Nothobranchius furzeri: one gene and its partner. The protein of the gene in region 2 interacts with the protein of the main gene of each other region in a pairwise test. Links are inferred from orthologs where the notes say so. Each region holds a gene or a part of one and is shown on either strand. Other genes may lie near its edges.

Region 1 (3,818 bases), on a different chromosome or scaffold from region 2:
AGGCAGGACGTTGGCGCCGTTCAGGTAAAGCTCATCGTTCACAATCACGTCCTCCCCCAGCACCGTCACGTTCTCCATACGCACCTTAAAACAGAGACATAAAACCGTCATCACTTCTAAACACAAACACAACAAGATCCTAGGTTTTACAAGTAAACACATGTCCTGCTCACGACTTCCTGTCACCCAGCTGCTAAAAAACAACAATGATGCTTTATTCAGACTCCAGTTTAAAAAGATGACCTGGGAATACCTGGACTTCTTCGGGGTCTTGAACCAGTGAACCAGGCCAACACATGAATTATAATCTGATCCACGTGAAGGAAGTTTACTCACCCACTGACCAACGGAGGAGCTCCATCCCACGATGCAGCTCTCCAACCAAGAGTGGGACCGAACCCTCGATCCTTTCAGCACCGTGCACCGTTTTATCCTCACCCCATCCTCGATGACCACACCGGCACCGATGGTGACGTTGGGCCCGATGGAGCAGTTCTCCCCGATCTGCGCCGACGGGTCCTTCACAGGAAAAATGAGGACAGACGCTACACATCACCACAGGTATCGTTTTTTGTTTTTTCCTCTATATGGTCAAAAAGCCGAACTGACCACCAGGACGTTGCCAAGGAAACCAGGCCCTGTATGAAGCCTCTCAGGAGCATGTAGCCGTAGCGACTGGAGGTACATACACATTCCTGTGAGGAAATCTTTCGGCTGACCGATGTCCATCCAGAAACCTAAGGTGCAGACGGAACAACAGCCCGACAGTCAAAAGCTGTTACCATGGAAACAACCAGGTTTCAACAGATAATCTCCACCAGGCAAATTACCGACCAGCAACAGGACTTTATGGCTTCTATAGGAAATTCAGCTAAATACACATGAATAAAAGCTCAACTCTGTGGTTTGGATGTATATGAATAAGCTGTGTTTTTTTTTATTTATTGAAAAAAAAATAAAAATAAAAAATCAAACATTTAAAGGAACCAACTACTGCTCATAAACCTCAGGATGTGACGTAGGGCATTATGGCAGGTAAAACTTTCAGATTAAATCCGGAACAGGAAATTCTGGTTTATCTACTGGGGGGGGGGGGGGGGTTACTGCTCAGGAAGGAGGATGTACAGAAGCACCAGAATCCCTCCAGTCATCTTTTCCTGATAAAAATCGACTCATCTGCAAATCTAGTTCTGTCTTTTTAAACACATCAGTGCTTCTCTACATGCAGAAGCTGAACTAAATGAGTTTGGATGTGAGGAAAGACCCAAACACTTACGTCTGGTGGAGCTGGGAGCTGCTGAGACCAGAATGAGCAAAACGTGTCAGCTTCCAACAAGACCTTCCTTTGAACTGAAGCCACTGAGTGTGTCTTTAGTTTAACTACAGAGACTTCTAGAAAATGAATCTAGGATCAATTTAATTTTCTTTGCATCAAAAACAGACTGAACTTTCCAAGCTACATTTGTACTTTTTTCTGTTTGCTCTTTTCTTGCTCTAAGTTCCAACCGTTGGTTGTCTGTTACAGGACTGGTATGTCGAGAGCTTCAGCTCTGAGCTGAATAAACCAAAGCGTATTTAATAGTTACCCTGCAGCTCCATGGTGTACAGCTGACCCTCTTCTGCCATGATGGGAAATATTTCCTTCTCGATGGATGTCGGTCTGAGCTGCACACAAACACAAAAAAGCAGGCCATAAATAACAAAGAACAACAACTAAATCTGTGTTTAAATATCCAAACGTATCTATTCTGCTGCTTAACTTTACATGATAAAAACAACAGTAACGTCAGTATAGCGAGTGAGCTTCACCTGGATTCTGCTAAGCACGCTGGGATTGAAGATGTACATGCCAGCGTTAATCTTGTTGGAGACGAAGACCTGCGGCTTCTCGACGAAGCGCTGAATCCTCCCACTGTCGGACTCATATACCACCACACCGTACTTGGAGGGCTCCTCCACTCGCGTCACCTTCAAACAAACACACACCCAGGTTAAAATCAGCAGATCGACTCACAAAGACATTAGGGCCTTTTGTTTTTACGTTTTAAATAAAAACATTTGATGAAATTCCCAATATCAACTACAGCCACCAGGGGGCAGCAACATCAAAACAAATTAAAAGATTTTTTCTACTTTAACATAGTTTGTTTGCAGGGTGGGTACTGAATTTGCAACGTGTGTGTGTGTGTGTGTGTGTGTGTGTGTGTGTGTGTGTGTGTGTGTGTGTGTGTGTGTGTGTGTGTGTGTGTGTGTGTGTGTGTGTGTGTCATTAGCTACTCAATGAAAGAAAAAGGTCAAATAAATCGTTTCGCATCAGCTGAAGTTCTAAGGCATCAATCACGTGGCTCTACAAGCATGAGATTTTAAATCATGTAAATAAATGTTGAGTCTGACGAGACCTTCTGCTCCTGGATGTTTTCTACCTATTTTAGCCTGATAAACCAGAAATCACATCTTTAACCTCTACAAAGTCTGCATCGTACCACGATGGTTCCCTCCTTGCCGTGGTTCTGGTGGAACTGCAGCAGATCTTTGAAGGGAAAATCACAGATGACATCAGAGTTGAGGACAAAGAATGGCTCGTTATCGACGTTCAGCAGGTCTCGAGCCAATGCCAGGGGTCCCGCTGAGCAGAAACAGACAAATTTTCTTAGTTAAATTCAGAAGATTTATTAAAATGTTGAACCAAGTCTAAATGGATTTAAAACAGGAAATCTGAGATGATGTTTTACTTTTATTTTTGTTTGATCTTAATCTTAAATTACAGAGGAGCTCCCTCTTCCTTTCAAACTTGAGATTTTTAGCAATTCATTCATGAAATGACTCATTTATCCAGCGCCGGAGCATCTCTGCTTATAATCAAACTCTTGGTAACATTTCCAGGCTCATTTTTGTTTTGTTTTAATCCACGGATGATAAAACTATTCCAGTGTTCTGGAATTATTTTGGTGAAATAAATTACCTGGAGTCTCTAGACCAGTTTTAAAAGATCCTGGACACAACACTCAAGATTATTTTTGGTTTTGTCTGGAGACGAGACACTCACCGGTTCCCAGAGGCTCCTTCTCATGAGACAGAGAGATAAGAATCCCAAGCTGAGGAGAGAAGAGTGAAACAATCAGGATGAAAAAAACTGACGCCAATATTAACTTCTTCCGGCTCTTGTAGAGTGCAGACGCTTTTTTCCTCCTCTCCTCCCTATCTTACCCTCAAGGCTCTTTGTCTGTCTTTGGGTGCACGGCTGCTTCTGCATTTTTTCTGGAAACTGAAATTACTAAAATGGATATTGTCAGTTGGTCATTTAACGCGATTGATAAAATTTTTAAATTTACGCCATTATTGGGATTTTGAGGGGTTAAGGCCCAACGGAACTTTAAGACAGAGAGGAAATTATCTCTGTCTGGCCCCAAAACAATTTCTAATCTGAATCTGGTGCCCTTGAGCGTGTAAGGCTGCAACGAATACTCCCCCCTCAGAAGAAATGAGGAATGCTACCATCGCTATGGCAACTCTGTCTCCTATCCCAGCCTGGGCGGGACTGCGGGCTGTGAAGGCCGCCGAATCGTTCCAGGAGTCACTGTGCCCTCGAAACCTCAACAACCTCCTGTCCAGACTGAGGTGACGTGTGCTGCTTATCGTGGCTGCAGGAACTGATGTGAGGAGAGTCCCAAACCCACAACCCCACCTAGTGGACACTTATGTTGTGTGATGTCTGAAGTCTGTTGCATCTCTGTCTGAGGTGTTTTTTTGCATAGCAAAGCTGCCCTTCCTCTGGAGGGTAACTCTGAAGTGCCCCTTTTTTTTTCCTCCACCTGAAC
Region 2 (4,596 bases):
TGTGAAAGCTGTTAATTTTCAGAGTCAACATGTCAGAGCCCAGAAAGCTGAGGTGAAGACACACATGACTGTCACAGGTGGTTCATGTGGACACACCTTCTCGATCGTGTCGGTTATTCAAATGAAGTGTTTCCATTCTCTAGTGGAGATGCAGAAACAGGACCTGAGTGTGACTGAAAACTGAAAATTCATTCAAATATGGGACAAAAGCGAAACTCCTGTTGTTTCAGCAGGTGCATACACAAATAAGATCCTCACCTTTAGAGATGTGCTCCTTAAAGTTGCCGGCAGTGAGCTCATACAGGCCCTGTTTGGGCTCGGGGGCTTTTGGAGGCTCCAGCTCACTCTCTGGTTCCTTTAGGGCATCCAACAAAAAACATGAGGAACATTCCTGGTTGTAAAACACATGTTTGGAGATTTGAGCTGATTAATGAGTAAAACAAGACTCACTGAAGGCTCCTCCTGGAGTGTCTTTAGCATCCACGTCTCCAAAGACTGCAGATCTCTGGGACCTTGATACTTTACAGCTTCATGCTCTGGCTTAAACAATTTTAACCTACATTTAAAAACAGACCAGAAGAAAAGGTGAGACTATTTAAGGAAAGAGTAACTGATTCGGTTCAGTAAGTTCTGGAGAATCACAAGAAAAGTCAATCATTCATGGTGTTTGAATGAAGTCAGCAACAAGAAAGGAGAACGGGCTGTTAAGATAGCAGATATGTAAACTAATTATGTTGATCTTTAATTAAAACTATGACCTGTCCACAATCTGACAGGCTTTTAACCTGAGCAGTTATCCCTTATTCCCTTATTTAATGAAGACTTTCTGAATGTTTATTTTTACTGTGATAAAGAACAGTAACAAACATGGGCTCACAATTACTGAATCTTAGCTTTACTGTGGGAGGATTTACCAACTCCTGATTGTTAGTAGACCTGATGTGACCAAACAAACAGGTAAAGTAGTCATTTTAAAGGCTAAGTTGAAAATATTTTGCATGCATTGTGGCCTGAAGTTCATGAATAATAAAAAGTTTATTCCTTTTGTGATGATCCATAAGTTTAGCAGCTTCCAGTAAAACAGCCACTGCTCTGTGTTTATGGACCATCAGATATGGATCAGAATCAGAAACAACTTTATTTTCATTGCCCCAGCTTCCTGGAGCATAACAATGTGTCTCTGCAAGACAGCCTGACCAAGATTAGACACACAGACATGTAGAACAAAAACAGATACAGGCAGGCATTAGTTCTGTCTACACTGGCACTGTGTGTGTGTGTGTGTGTGTGTGTGTGTGTGTGTGTGTGTGCGTGTGGCTGCAGACATAACCCAGTTACTTACGTGGGATAGCCTCTAACGCCGTGCACATTGGAGCAAAACTTGGTGTCCTGGACACAGTCTACCTTTACCACATATACTGGGGGGTCGTTCATACTGTTGTACTTGTCTGCCAGTTCATTCCATGTAGGCTGGAGTCGCTGGCAATGGCCGCACCTGGAAACGGTAGTAAACACTGAAATCTCACTCTGTTGAAAACCTCAACAGATTACACTTTAGCTGAAGTATGAACTGTCTGATGATGCATTGTGCAAACCTGTGAGAACTCGGACCCGTTAAATGGAATTCATTTGGAAATGACATGATCTGTGAGATTTGTGGATCAAAAATGTTGTTTGCAGCTGTGTAAATTTCTTATTGACCTGTACACTAAATGCAGCCACCCACATTAACCCTGGTCGCCAGAAAAAGTTACCCTTTGCCATCTTAAACTTGACCTAATGATGCAACACTACTGTCTTGGACAGTTGCATAGGTCGGGACTTTTCTGAATTACGGTTTTGCATTTCATGGACAATACTGGATACACTGCTGACAACGCTGCAACACAAAACAACCTGTAACTCATTCACAGAAGATGCAAAAATGATGCAAAACACTGGCTATACCTTTATTAAATGTTAGTTCATAGTTGGTACTCTTCTGGTGGCCGTGCTCAGAGCATCAGGACGTTTACAGCGTTCGACATAAATCCTCTTTAGGTCTCTACACTCAGAACGTTCACCAATTTCTACTTCAGGTAAGACCATGATCAGTAATTAGTAGTTCACAAATTTTACAAAGGAAAATGTGTTGACATTAGTAAAAGAATGAAGTGTGTTTTTCTAAATTGTGTCAAAAACCACATAATAATGCAACAATTTACAGTTTGGGATGAAGAGACAAATCAAATAACAGTGATATAAACTTCTACCTACACTAGTTACAGCTCTTTATTGTGAAGGGCCTTTGGGGGCCGTGGACCACAAATTGAAACCAATGACATAACGGGTCAATCAGCGCGTGCCACGTAAGCGTAACTTCCACTTTAATTTTGTGCTCGTATCTCTTAATATTTCTACCCAAAGCAAAAAGTTTGCACAAAAGCTGTTTGAATAAATACCGAACACAACTAAAAATACACAAAAGCTTCCAGAAATAGCACCTAAACAACACACAGAAGTTGCTAATACTCGGCTAAGCTAGTTAGCAGCGAGGCTAACCGGACTGGTTGACTTTAAAGGGATTTAGGTAACCACCTAGCTTACATGCTAATTAGCCAGTTTGCCGGTAAGCTCGTTTAGCAGTGTTGTACGATCTGTGTTGTGGTTTTTCGTGCTTAGATACATCGCTTAAAACACATTAATGCTATCTTCAATGATTTCAAGAAACGTCATTTTAAATAAACCTAATGTTGGTCACTTACCATGGAGCGTAAAACATGACAAAGTGAGGTGCAGTGGGCACCGCCTCGTTAAACATCTCCACCGTGTACGTGTGCTTGGCGTGCTCATCTTCTTCTGCTTCCCCATCGCAAAACACACCAGCAAACAGTAAGGACAAATAAAGAAAACACTTTAAAACAGGTTTACAGTTCGATGTAGCAGCCATGGTGGATGTCGCTAAAAGTGATGCGCGTCCCCGCCGGTGTAGAGGGCTGACTTTTGAACAGACACGCCCCCTTAGAGCCTAAGTTTAAAGCTATAAACAGTCTAGATGAGTTGTATGTACTGTGGTCGTCGGTGTGCGTACAATCAATATGTTGTGAAGATCTACGGTCACATGAAGACCCTAGTTTCTGTGGTTCTGGATGACAAGTTCAAACAAATCTGTTATAAAAATGTCAGTTTTCATCAGTAAAGAAAAGTTCAATCACTCTTGATGAAGATTATTTAACAAAATGAAGATTAGCTCCAAAAATAAATGTGTGTGCTGTACAAAATCTTTGCCAGTGCAATGAAACCCTATTGTGAATTATAAAACATTAGGATTAAACTAAGAGATGAGGCATGCATGGCCTTTTCCCCACCATTTCCAATGTTGTGATCAACATCCAGAATGTAGACAGGCCATGAAAAATAATGCAAAAATATTTTTGGAATTAAAAGAAAAGCACTGACATAATTCATAAAAATATTACAAATATTAATTTCTTCTAATACCTTAGTTTTTCACTTTGTAAACACTTCCTCATCTTACAAGAGTCAGACTATACTGGATACAAGAACAAACCTCCCAAGGCAGCCTTTTGCAATGGTGCCATTTTATTCGGCAACAAATGTCAAGTATTTTTTTTTTAACTTGATTTCATTCTGTTACACTTGTGCACCTAAGATAATGTCACACAGTGAAATTTGATTTCCATCCTCTGGCTTGTAAGACAAAATTAAGTTAGAAACAAACACAATATATTAAACAAAACACTGAATAAAACTAGGCAATATAATAAAAAATAATCAAACAGCAGTCTGTCAAACAACAGATGGAAAAATGTAAAATAAATTGAGACAGTTTAGCCTGTCTAATTTAGAAAACAACAGTATAAGCTAAAAAAGGTGAAAATGAGAAAAATGTGTAAAATTATGAGCAATAAAATTATTTCAAAGACTTTAAGCTTTTATTAGGAGTCTATGTACAAACTTGAGTTAGGACTGAGGGCTGCTGTTAAACATTTTCACTCCTCTAGACACAGACAAGCCTGTGGTTTTCCAGAGAGAGGAAGTGGTGGGTTGCCTGTGCCTGAGTGATCAGTCTGGTGGTTCTGGCTGCAGAAATGTAGCATCTCTCTGATGGAAGCTGCACAGCTTGTGTTGTGGGTGGTTAGAGTCCTTGATGATGCGGTTGGTCCTCCTGAGCGCTACTGATGCACTCCAGAACAGAGAAGGCTACCTGTTGGTTTTTTCTTATGTTGTTTTGACCATACCACTTTATTTATATGGCACATTTAAAATACAGCGTGAGAGCTGACCAAAGTGCTGCACAGTGACCAATTGTTATGGAGCCTTGTGACCTCATACTGAACTGCTCCCATGCAAAAATTGATAGAAGATACTCTCAGGTGTGCTTGTTGGTAAAAAGGCTCGGCATCTCAAATTTCCTTTTCAGAAAACAAAAATGCTCATTGGTCACTGATGCTGGGGAACCAAGAGTGTTCTATCAATGTCTGGAAACAAAAAAAGGTAGAGCCGCATGTGCGGAACTCTGATTCACGTACTTAAGATTATTGTTGGGAGAGAAATAATAAGTTTGGAACAATGATCAGAACATCAGCAAAGCAT

What was found.
Region 1: the proteins of txndc5 (region 2) and gmppb interact in a two-hybrid assay, tested with the Homo sapiens proteins (2 studies listed by BioGRID and IntAct). The two-hybrid records come from large-scale screens. The link is inferred for Nothobranchius furzeri from reciprocal best matches to the Homo sapiens genes TXNDC5 and GMPPB.

Annotation. Positions count from the first base shown.
Region 1 is NC_091743.1:68,663,012-68,666,829, forward strand, and holds part of gmppb (mannose-1-phosphate guanylyltransferase catalytic subunit beta), read right to left. Parts: intron 3,096-3,818; coding exon 3,047-3,095; intron 2,627-3,046; coding exon 2,484-2,626; intron 1,969-2,483; coding exon 1,810-1,968; intron 1,666-1,809; coding exon 1,587-1,665; intron 738-1,586; coding exon 610-737; intron 520-609; coding exon 337-519; intron 85-336; coding exon 1-84. UniProt on the Homo sapiens protein: Catalytic subunit of the GMPPA-GMPPB mannose-1-phosphate guanylyltransferase complex. Catalyzes the formation of GDP-mannose, an essential precursor of glycan moieties of glycoproteins and glycolipids. Can catalyze the reverse reaction in vitro.
Region 2 is NC_091747.1:42,291,845-42,296,440, forward strand, and holds the start of txndc5 (thioredoxin domain-containing protein 5), read right to left. Parts: upstream 2,973-4,596; 5' UTR 2,930-2,972; coding exon 2,745-2,929; intron 1,496-2,744; coding exon 1,343-1,495; intron 557-1,342; coding exon 451-556; intron 356-450; coding exon 259-355; intron 1-258. UniProt on the Homo sapiens protein: Protein disulfide isomerase of the endoplasmic reticulum lumen involved in the formation of disulfide bonds in proteins. Can reduce insulin disulfide bonds.